Linked DNA regions of Canis lupus familiaris. The protein of the gene in region 2 interacts with the protein of the main gene of each other region in a pairwise test. Links are inferred from orthologs where the notes say so. Each region holds a gene or a part of one and is shown on either strand. Other genes may lie near its edges. The genes, in order: CXCL16 and TMEM239.

Region 1 (4,521 bases), on a different chromosome or scaffold from region 2:
AGAAGTAAGGAATCAGAGCTAAGAGCTGAGGATACAGGGGATCCCTGGGTGGCTCAGTGGTTTAGCACCTGCCTTGGGCCCAGCCCAGGGCGTGATGCTGGAGTCCAGGGATCAAGTCCCACATCGGGCTCCATTCATGAAGCTTGCTTCTCCCTCTGCCTGTGTCTCTGCCTCTCTCTCTGTCTCTCATGAATAAATAAATAAAATATTCAAAAAAAAAAAAAAAGAAAGAAAGAAAGAAATGAGCTGAGGATGCAAAGTGAAAAAGTAGTTGAAGGGTAGTGGGTCTAGGTCACAGCTTAAGGCCCTGAAAAGGAAGGCAGACACAGGGGTGGGGGGTGGAAAAGGAAGTAAGCTGAATTCGACAGGGAAGTGCTGGGATAGGCTTGTGTCCAGAGCTGGCTCTGCTTCCGAGCAGTCTCATGCACAACCTTGTCCCTTGTCTCTTGACCCCACTCCCTGAGACACTTTGCTTTCAGCTATAAAGCAGGATTTTAGTACCGAGGGCCACGGTAGCTAGAAGGATGGAGTGCAATCCTGTAGGCAGGCCTTTCTGTAGCCCACGGAACAGTATGCACACCAGGGATGCTCCAACAAGACAACTTCAGCTGCAACGTGTTAGAACATTTTGTGTTTTAACGGTTGTGTATTTATTTTAGGAGAAAAATACAGCCGGCGCCTCAAATCTGTGGCTTCACAGATGTTATTGCTTAGGACAAGCTGCTAGTTAAGTTTTTCCAAAACCGGCTTGTGTACACATAAGAACTTAACTCGTTTCACTGTACGTGAATTTTACCTCAAAAGAGAAAAATCAACAATAAAGTGCTGATTTCTACTTAACAATACACAGTCTGAGATGTGTGAGGATGAAGTATGGTCGAGCCTGCAACTAATTTGGAAATACATCAGAAAATAAGGTGGGGCGCCCTGATCTGAGGGTTCTGGGATCCAGCCCCACATCGGGCTCCCTGCTCAGCAGTGAGTCTACTACTTCTCCCCCTCCCTCTGCTCTTCCCCTTCTCATGCACTCTTCTCTCTCTCTCAAATAAATAAAATCTTTTTTAAAAAAAAAAAAAAGGCGGATTGATGATGGATAGAAACATAGATGGGCGTGAACTAAAACGAATATAGTCAGCATGCTGTAAACTTGATATTGTAAAACACACGCATTTGCTGTGTTCTCTGCCTACTACACACATTACATAAAATATAAACATTAAAAAGCCAAAAAGCGTGGAATCTAGGTGGTGGGCCTACAGATGTTCACTGCACTGGTCTTTCAACTTTTGTGTATGTCTTTAGATCACCACAGTCAAACACCAGAAAACAAAAGCAGTGCCTTGGTTTCACGAAAAATATTAAGGAAATAAGAGCACAGGTAACAGGATGGATTGGCCAAAATCATGACAGTGATGGTGAATGACACGGGGCCAACAGGGACCTAAGGGGCTTTGGCTGGCACCAGCTACAAGAGGAATGCCAGGTGTCATTGGGAGGGGGCCCCTGCCCTGAAGACAGACCTCAGGCAGGAGAGGGAAAGCCAGTACCTTTACGATCCAAGCAGCTCATCAACTGTTGAACCCACGGATCCTTGCTGCCGCCACACACGCTCCGCATTCGTAGCTGAAACCTAAGAAGGAAGACTTGGGATTTTAACTCTTTCCTCATTCCAAAGACCTGAAGTCACTGCCAAAAGCAAGCAGGGCCCTTTCTGCCCAGACTGGGGAATTCCCAGGTGGTTGGGACAGGGAAACAAGGGCATGGAGAATTAGGGGGAAGGTAACCCTGAGAGGGGGCCAGGTGCCCCCAGGAGCTCCGGGTGAACCAGTGAGGTCCTGGAGGCCCCAGCAGCGCCGCCCTCCCGGTGCTCCGTGAGCTCACCTGACGTAGGAATTACAGCGCTGATAGACTCGCAGATGTTTTCGGAGATGAGCCATGAGCTCCGCGGTCGGAGGGGAGCCGGAAGAAATCGCTTTGTCGCAGTAACAACTGCCAGTGACGCTGCCCTCGTTGCCATCGCCTGGCAAGGGTACCGGCGGTCAGCGCCAGATCCCAGCTCGAGGGGCTCCCCAGCGTCACCGCGCCTCCTCCTCGGATCCCGGATCTGACCCCCAGACCCACAGGGCGCTCCCACACACACGCCCGGACCCGGGTGCCCCTAGCCTGTCCCCTACCCCGGGGGGACCCCGGCTCCGCCCCCTGCTCCACACTACCCCGCGGCCCTTGGCGCCCCGGTCCCCCATTCCACTCCTCGACTGGGGCCCTGGACGAACCTGGCCGAGTCAGCAGCGCCAGCGCGGCAAGCAGCACGAGGGGCCCGGCCCCCATGTCGGGGGCCAGGCCGGACCGCAGCGCGGCGTCCAGCTGCTCCCTCCCGGGCCCGCCGGGACGCCGGGCAGCCGCGGCCGTCGGGGTGCGAGGGTGGGGGGTGCGGCGCGAGCTGGAGGCGCCCTCCTCCCGAGCTCTCACCTTCCGAACCGACAGCGCGGTCGGTACTGCGGGCCTCGCGGCAGCTGCCCCCCACCGCCACCGCCGCGGGGAAAGTCCCGGAGGCGGGGCCCCGCGTCCCCGCGCCCCCGTCCCCCGCGCCCCCGCGCCGAGGGAGCGGCCGGGAAGGAGCGCGCAAAGGCAACACGAGCTCGGCCCCGCTCGGGGATGCCCGCCCAGCCGCCCCAGGTCAGGCGGCCCGCCCGCCGCCACCGCTCCTCCCGCCCTCCGCCGCCACCACCTCCCAGGGCGCTTTCGCTTCCCCGCCGGGCGCCGGCACTGGGTCACATGCCGGGTGAGAACCGCGGGAAAGTCCGTGAGCCCCCGACGGGGGCGGGGTCTCGGCCGGGGGGGGGGGGGCGCGGGCTCCCGCGGCCCTGACGTCACGCCCACCCACCCCCATCCCCCCGGAGCCCCGAGGTATTTACCTTCGAAAAGTGGTGGCGGCTGCAGGTACCGGAGAGGCGGAGCGGCCGGGAGGGACTGGGTCCACGGGGACTCCCCGCCGAACCGGTCCAAGGCGAGGGGATGCCCCCGCTCCGGTTCCCTCCTCGCACATCCCGCAGACGGATCCAAAGTAATCCCCGCTCGCCAAACCCTTCCCCGTGGGATTAGCCCTCCAAATCTATCCACAATTCAGACCTTACTCTTGAGGGTTTGAGCCTCGGATTCTGAGCCCCAAATACCATCTCACTCCCGACTACTCATCTGAAACCCTGCTCTCCCACTTCCATGCCTGCCCCAGTTCTCAACCTGAACTCCCACCCTGAGCCCCGGAAAAGTAGTCTCAGCTCCTCACACTCATCCAGAGGCCCCACGTTAGTGAACCTCAAACCCACACCCTCCCCATTTGGTGACCCAGCCCCGAACCCCCCCATTGCCCTCTGCCTTACCATACACCCCTTCCTCTGCTTAGTCTGGGCCCAGACCCCGTGCCCCTGAAGACATGGAGTTTGTGTCTGGATACAGAGATGAGTTCCTTGATTTCGCTGCCCTCCTGTTTGGCTGGTTCCGAAAGTTCGCTGCAGAGCGCGGGGCTGTGGGGGCCAGCCTTGAGAGCCGCTGGCGCCAGCTGGAGGCTCAGATCAGAAGACTGCCCCAGGACCCTGCCCTTTGGGTGCTCCATGTATTGCCCAACCGTAGTGTGGGCATCAGCCTGGGGCAAGGGGCAGAGCCGGGCCCTGCACCAGGCCTGGGTGCTGCCTGCTTCCTGGGAGACGAGCCCCCACTGCACCTGCGAGACCTAAGCCCCTATGTCAGCTTTGTCAGCCTGGAGGAAGGGGAGGAAGCAGAGGAGGAGGAGGAAGAGGAAGAGAATAGAGAGGAGGAGGGTACAGGTGTGGAGAAGGTTGATCCGGAGGAGGATGGGGAGCCAGGCCCCACCAGCAGGGAGTCCCCCCAGGAAGCAAACCCTCCAGGGGAGACCGAGGAGGCTGAGCAGGAGGCAGGAGGCAGAGGCGGCGAGGAAGGCTGCCGAGAGGACAAGGCTGAGGAAGAAGCGGGCCCTGACAGGAGGAAGGGGCGGAGAAGCGGTAAGATCCTGGGGCTGCCCTGTCTGACCCCTGCCTAGACATTCTCCCCTTTGGAAGACCTCCTCTACCATGCAGCCTGGCCAGGAGTCACCAGTGGGTGGCCTGCTGGCCAAGCTGGCCCAAAAGGTGTTTTCATTGACTCACAGTGGTTTTTGTTTTTCAAACTTTGAGCCAACATTTATACAATGAAAGAAAAAAAAAAAAAAAAGATTCCAGAAGTCAAAGGAAAACTTTCAAGTTCCAGCAGCAGGCCAACACTTCTGTGTGGCGCAGGTGGCAGCACCGTGTAGCAAGTGTCCTCTTTCCATGAGGCATCCCCTCTCTACCCGGTCCCCTCTGTTCATTTAGTTGACCCGCCTAACTCCTGTAGGCATGATTTTCATACCTTTGACTCTGCCCATCTTTGCCACTCCCCACCTCTGACTTTCCTTCCCCAGAGGCTGCCCCCCTGCACCTTTCCTGCCTCTTATTGGTGACGGATGAACATGGCACCATCTTGGGC
Region 2 (3,497 bases):
CTCACTACCCTAGTAGTGGCCCATCTCCCAGACTCAGGGATGCTCACCAAGGCAGAAGGGAAGAAGTCTAGGGAGTGGGGGATGCCTGAGCAGAAAGGAGCGAGAGGTGTTAGTTGAGGTCTCATGGGACTTCTGGACGGCCTTCTCCCAGATAGGTTTCTGTCAGTGGGCTCTTTCTAGAGCCTGGGGAAAGAGCGGAGGTTGGGGGGTTAGTGAAAGGAATGGCCAGTCAGGGCTACCGAACTAGAAATTCTCAACTGAGTCCGCAGCTGAGACAGCTGAGCAGCTACAAGAAAAAGCTGCTGCCAGTTGCTAAGGGAGCCCTAGTGGTGTCACTACAGCCTTGTGGGAACTCTCAGTGGCTTGGCCGAGCTCTGCCCCTGGCTAACCCTTCTGCCCTGTCCCTTCTCAAAGCCCCCAATGCCCCACACCAAGTACCTGTAGCATTGGCTTGGGGAAGGTGCCCAGAGGTCAGGCTAGTCTACCCTGCCAGCTTTAGCAACATCACACATGGCCCGAGCAGTGCTAGGGATGGGAGGTCTGGGGCCTCCCCTTCCCCAGGGCTCAACAGACACAGGCAGCGGGATGGGGTTGCCCTTCTATTGGTCCAAGTCCTGAGTGTAGTCTGGGTGAGACATGGAGGTGAGGAGGCCCACGAGGCTCAACAGCGTGGAGAAAAGCAGCAGGAAGGAGGCCGTGAAGAGCAGGGCAGGGAGGGCGCTGAGCACCAGCAGCAGGACAGCTGGCAGCAGATGGCGCCACGCTGCAGTCACGACAGGCCACAAGGAGCTCAGCAGGTAGGAGCCGGTGGTGAAGAGCGCGTGGCATAGCATCAGCGCCAGCAGCAGGTAGAGGATCCCCTCCAGCCCCCACAGCACACGCTGGAGTGGCTGCCGCCAGCCCGATGTGGTCCACCACTGGGCCCAGCTCCGAGGCATGTGGCACATGCACCAGCGCACCCAGGCCTGCCGCATGACCCAGGCTGACCAGGGCACTGCCTGCTGCGGCCCCTCGCCGGCCCCGATGGCACCCGTCTCCACTTGGGGCTGCTGCATCCTGGCTGGTACACCTGGGGAGAGGGCCAGGCCAGCTGCAGGAGCAGCCCCGAGATGCCTGGGACCTCAGGGCAGGTGGGGGGCAGGAGGCAGGGGCAGGAGGGTACCAGCACGGGTGGGGTGAGGCTTTGAGCCAGGGCCTGGGGCTTACCTCTGGGCAGAACCACCTAAGTCATGTTGCTTCCTGCAGCACCTAGGACGGCCTAGCGGCCAGAGTGGAGCCCCTGCTGTCCCTCTGTCCCCCCTTCCCCCCCACCAGATCCCTATTGTGACCCGGGTAGGGGTGGGGTCCAACCAAGAGAGGAGTCACTGCAGGATGTAAGACTCACCTGAATCCCTTTCCACGGACCCTCCAGGCTGCCAGGGGGTGCTGCTGAGCCCACTGATGCAGATTGTCACGCTTTCTTGTGGGAAGCCCCCTCCAGATCCTGGTTCCTACCCTACTAACTGATATCCAGTCCTACTCTGCTCTCCTGTGAGTCTTTCTGGACACTGATACTCTAGAACCACAGAGGAGGCCAGAATGGCCACCTCCCAACCCACAAACTCGGAGATGGCTGCCACATCCTGCCCTGGGACCCCCGTCCCTTAGCTCACCTTCTGTTGCTGTCCTCAGACTCAGACCCGGGTATCCACTGTCCACATTGTGGAGCTGAAGGTCCCCTGTGGTTCAGACTGGAGATAAAGGGGTACCCTCCTGCCTGCTCCACCCACAACAGAGGAAAGGCGATCTGGGGAAGCAACACTGCCAGTGTATTTCTGGAGGGCACTCAGATCCAAGGATGGAGGTAGAAAGCCAGGCCAAGCAGGGCCAAGGGCACGCTGCAGGCTCCCAGGAGTAGCCCCAGGCTCAGGAGCAGCAGTAGCAGAGCCTCCTGGGGGCTGAGTTGTCCCGTGACTGCCACCGTAGGCAGGAGTACAGCCTCCTGCAGTCCTGGGCCCTCACCGGCCCCCTGACTCTGGCCTGTGAGAAGTATGTGCTGTGGTTGGACGGGGCCTGCGGGGCTGTGGAGAGACAGGGTGACAGCTGGGCTTCCGGAAATTGACTATTTGTTTCCCTGCTTACTCCTGCCACCTGCCAGGCTGCTGCACACTTACCAGTGGAACAGGTCGAAGGTCAGGAAGCTGACCAGTAGCAGCAGCAGCAGCAGCAGCAAGACTGGGCCAGCCGTGGAAAAGACTGCCCGAACTGTCAGTCCCAGTGCCCCCAGCCCTAGGACACTGTCCCAGAGCTGGGCCGGGCTAAGGCCCCAGGGAGACATACATGGACTTACTGGACTATTCGACCCCTCCCCAGCACTCAGGCCCCTGGGAGGGACTGGGATAGGATAAGCAGGGCCTTTGGGCCTGGGCAAGCAAAGCTGGGTCATAGAGGGAGGTGGAGATGACAGGAAGGACTAGTGCTGGGAGGGAGTTGGGGTGGGTAGGTATGTGGGACCGGGTGGGGCCCTGACAGACACTCGAGAGTAAACTGCGTGGGAATCTCCGCCTCCCCACACACTCACTCACCACACCCTCCTCACCTGCTACTTCAGTCAGCTGTTATGGGACTGGGCAGCTGGGACATTGTGACCTATTGCCAGGTGGGGTTCTGGGGTACAGAGGGAGCTGTGGCTGGTTTTGACCTCCTAAGCAGCTGGTATCTTAGGTGAGGCTTAGCCAGAAGGGAGTCATGATTTCTGAGAACTAAGACTCATCCTCTTGCCTTGGTGAATTCTCTGCCCCCAGGACTCCCCAAGAGGATCTGAGTTACCAGGAAGGCATTCTAACCCCATCACCACGTGGGTAAGAGAGGAAGGGCCGCTCTCTTTCTCCTGCGGGTTCCCAGAGCTCTGTGTCCAGGGACAATTATTCAATCTTCCTGTCGGCAGCTGTCTCTCCCCTGAGAGCTGGATGATGCCTTGTGGGGGAATTTTCAGGACTGCAGCCCTGAAATGCAGAGATAGGCTCTGCCAGGAAGTACCCTGAGACTTTCTGGAGCTGGACTCCCAGGGGACTGCTACAGGGTGGGGCAGGAGGGGGCTGTTTCTAAGCCTGTGGTTTGTGGGAAGTGTTCCAGATACTGGAATTCCAGAAATGGCATATATAATGTGAATATGAAGAGCGGTGACATAATAACTCACAATCTGGAAGTTAAAGTAACTCTGAGGATGAAAGTAAGGAAAATGAACATAAAAGGAAGGGATTGATCATCTGAAAAGGAAACCTATCTCCATGGTAATCTGAACCTACGGAGGTTCCAGCACATCTCACTTTAGTGACTTGAGAGGCAAGAATGGAAATGGATCATAACTAACAACAGAGTCCTTGTCCACTTATCATACTTTGAAGGAAAACTAATGGGGGTGGGGGAAGGGAACTGTGGTCATACAGCCCCAAAGAGAGGAGACAGCAAGAATTAGGCAGCATATCTGTCTCTAGTAGGCACTGTCCAAAGACTCA

The links.
Region 1: the proteins of TMEM239 (region 2) and CXCL16 interact in a two-hybrid assay, tested with the Homo sapiens proteins (2 studies listed by BioGRID). The two-hybrid records come from large-scale screens. The link is inferred for Canis lupus familiaris from reciprocal best matches to the Homo sapiens genes TMEM239 and CXCL16.

The regions. Positions count from the first base shown.
Region 1 is NC_049226.1:32,022,555-32,027,075, reverse strand, and holds the start of CXCL16 (C-X-C motif chemokine 16), read right to left. Parts: upstream 3,088-4,521; 5' UTR 2,916-3,087; intron 2,470-2,915; 5' UTR 2,329-2,469; coding exon 2,274-2,328; intron 2,021-2,273; coding exon 1,882-2,020; intron 1,631-1,881; coding exon 1,548-1,630; intron 1-1,547. Other genes in the region: ZMYND15 (zinc finger MYND domain-containing protein 15), read left to right, coding at 3,434-4,019, 4,457-4,521. UniProt on the Homo sapiens protein: Acts as a scavenger receptor on macrophages, which specifically binds to OxLDL (oxidized low density lipoprotein), suggesting that it may be involved in pathophysiology such as atherogenesis. Induces a strong chemotactic response. Induces calcium mobilization.
Region 2 is NC_049245.1:18,897,791-18,901,287, forward strand, and holds TMEM239 (transmembrane protein 239), read right to left. Parts: upstream 1,789-3,497; 5' UTR 1,653-1,788; exon of another isoform or gene 1,207-1,652; intron 1,070-1,206; 5' UTR 1,056-1,069; coding exon 600-1,055; 3' UTR 587-599; downstream 1-586. Other genes in the region: C24H20orf141 (uncharacterized protein C20orf141 homolog), read right to left, coding at 1,826-2,060, 2,154-2,425.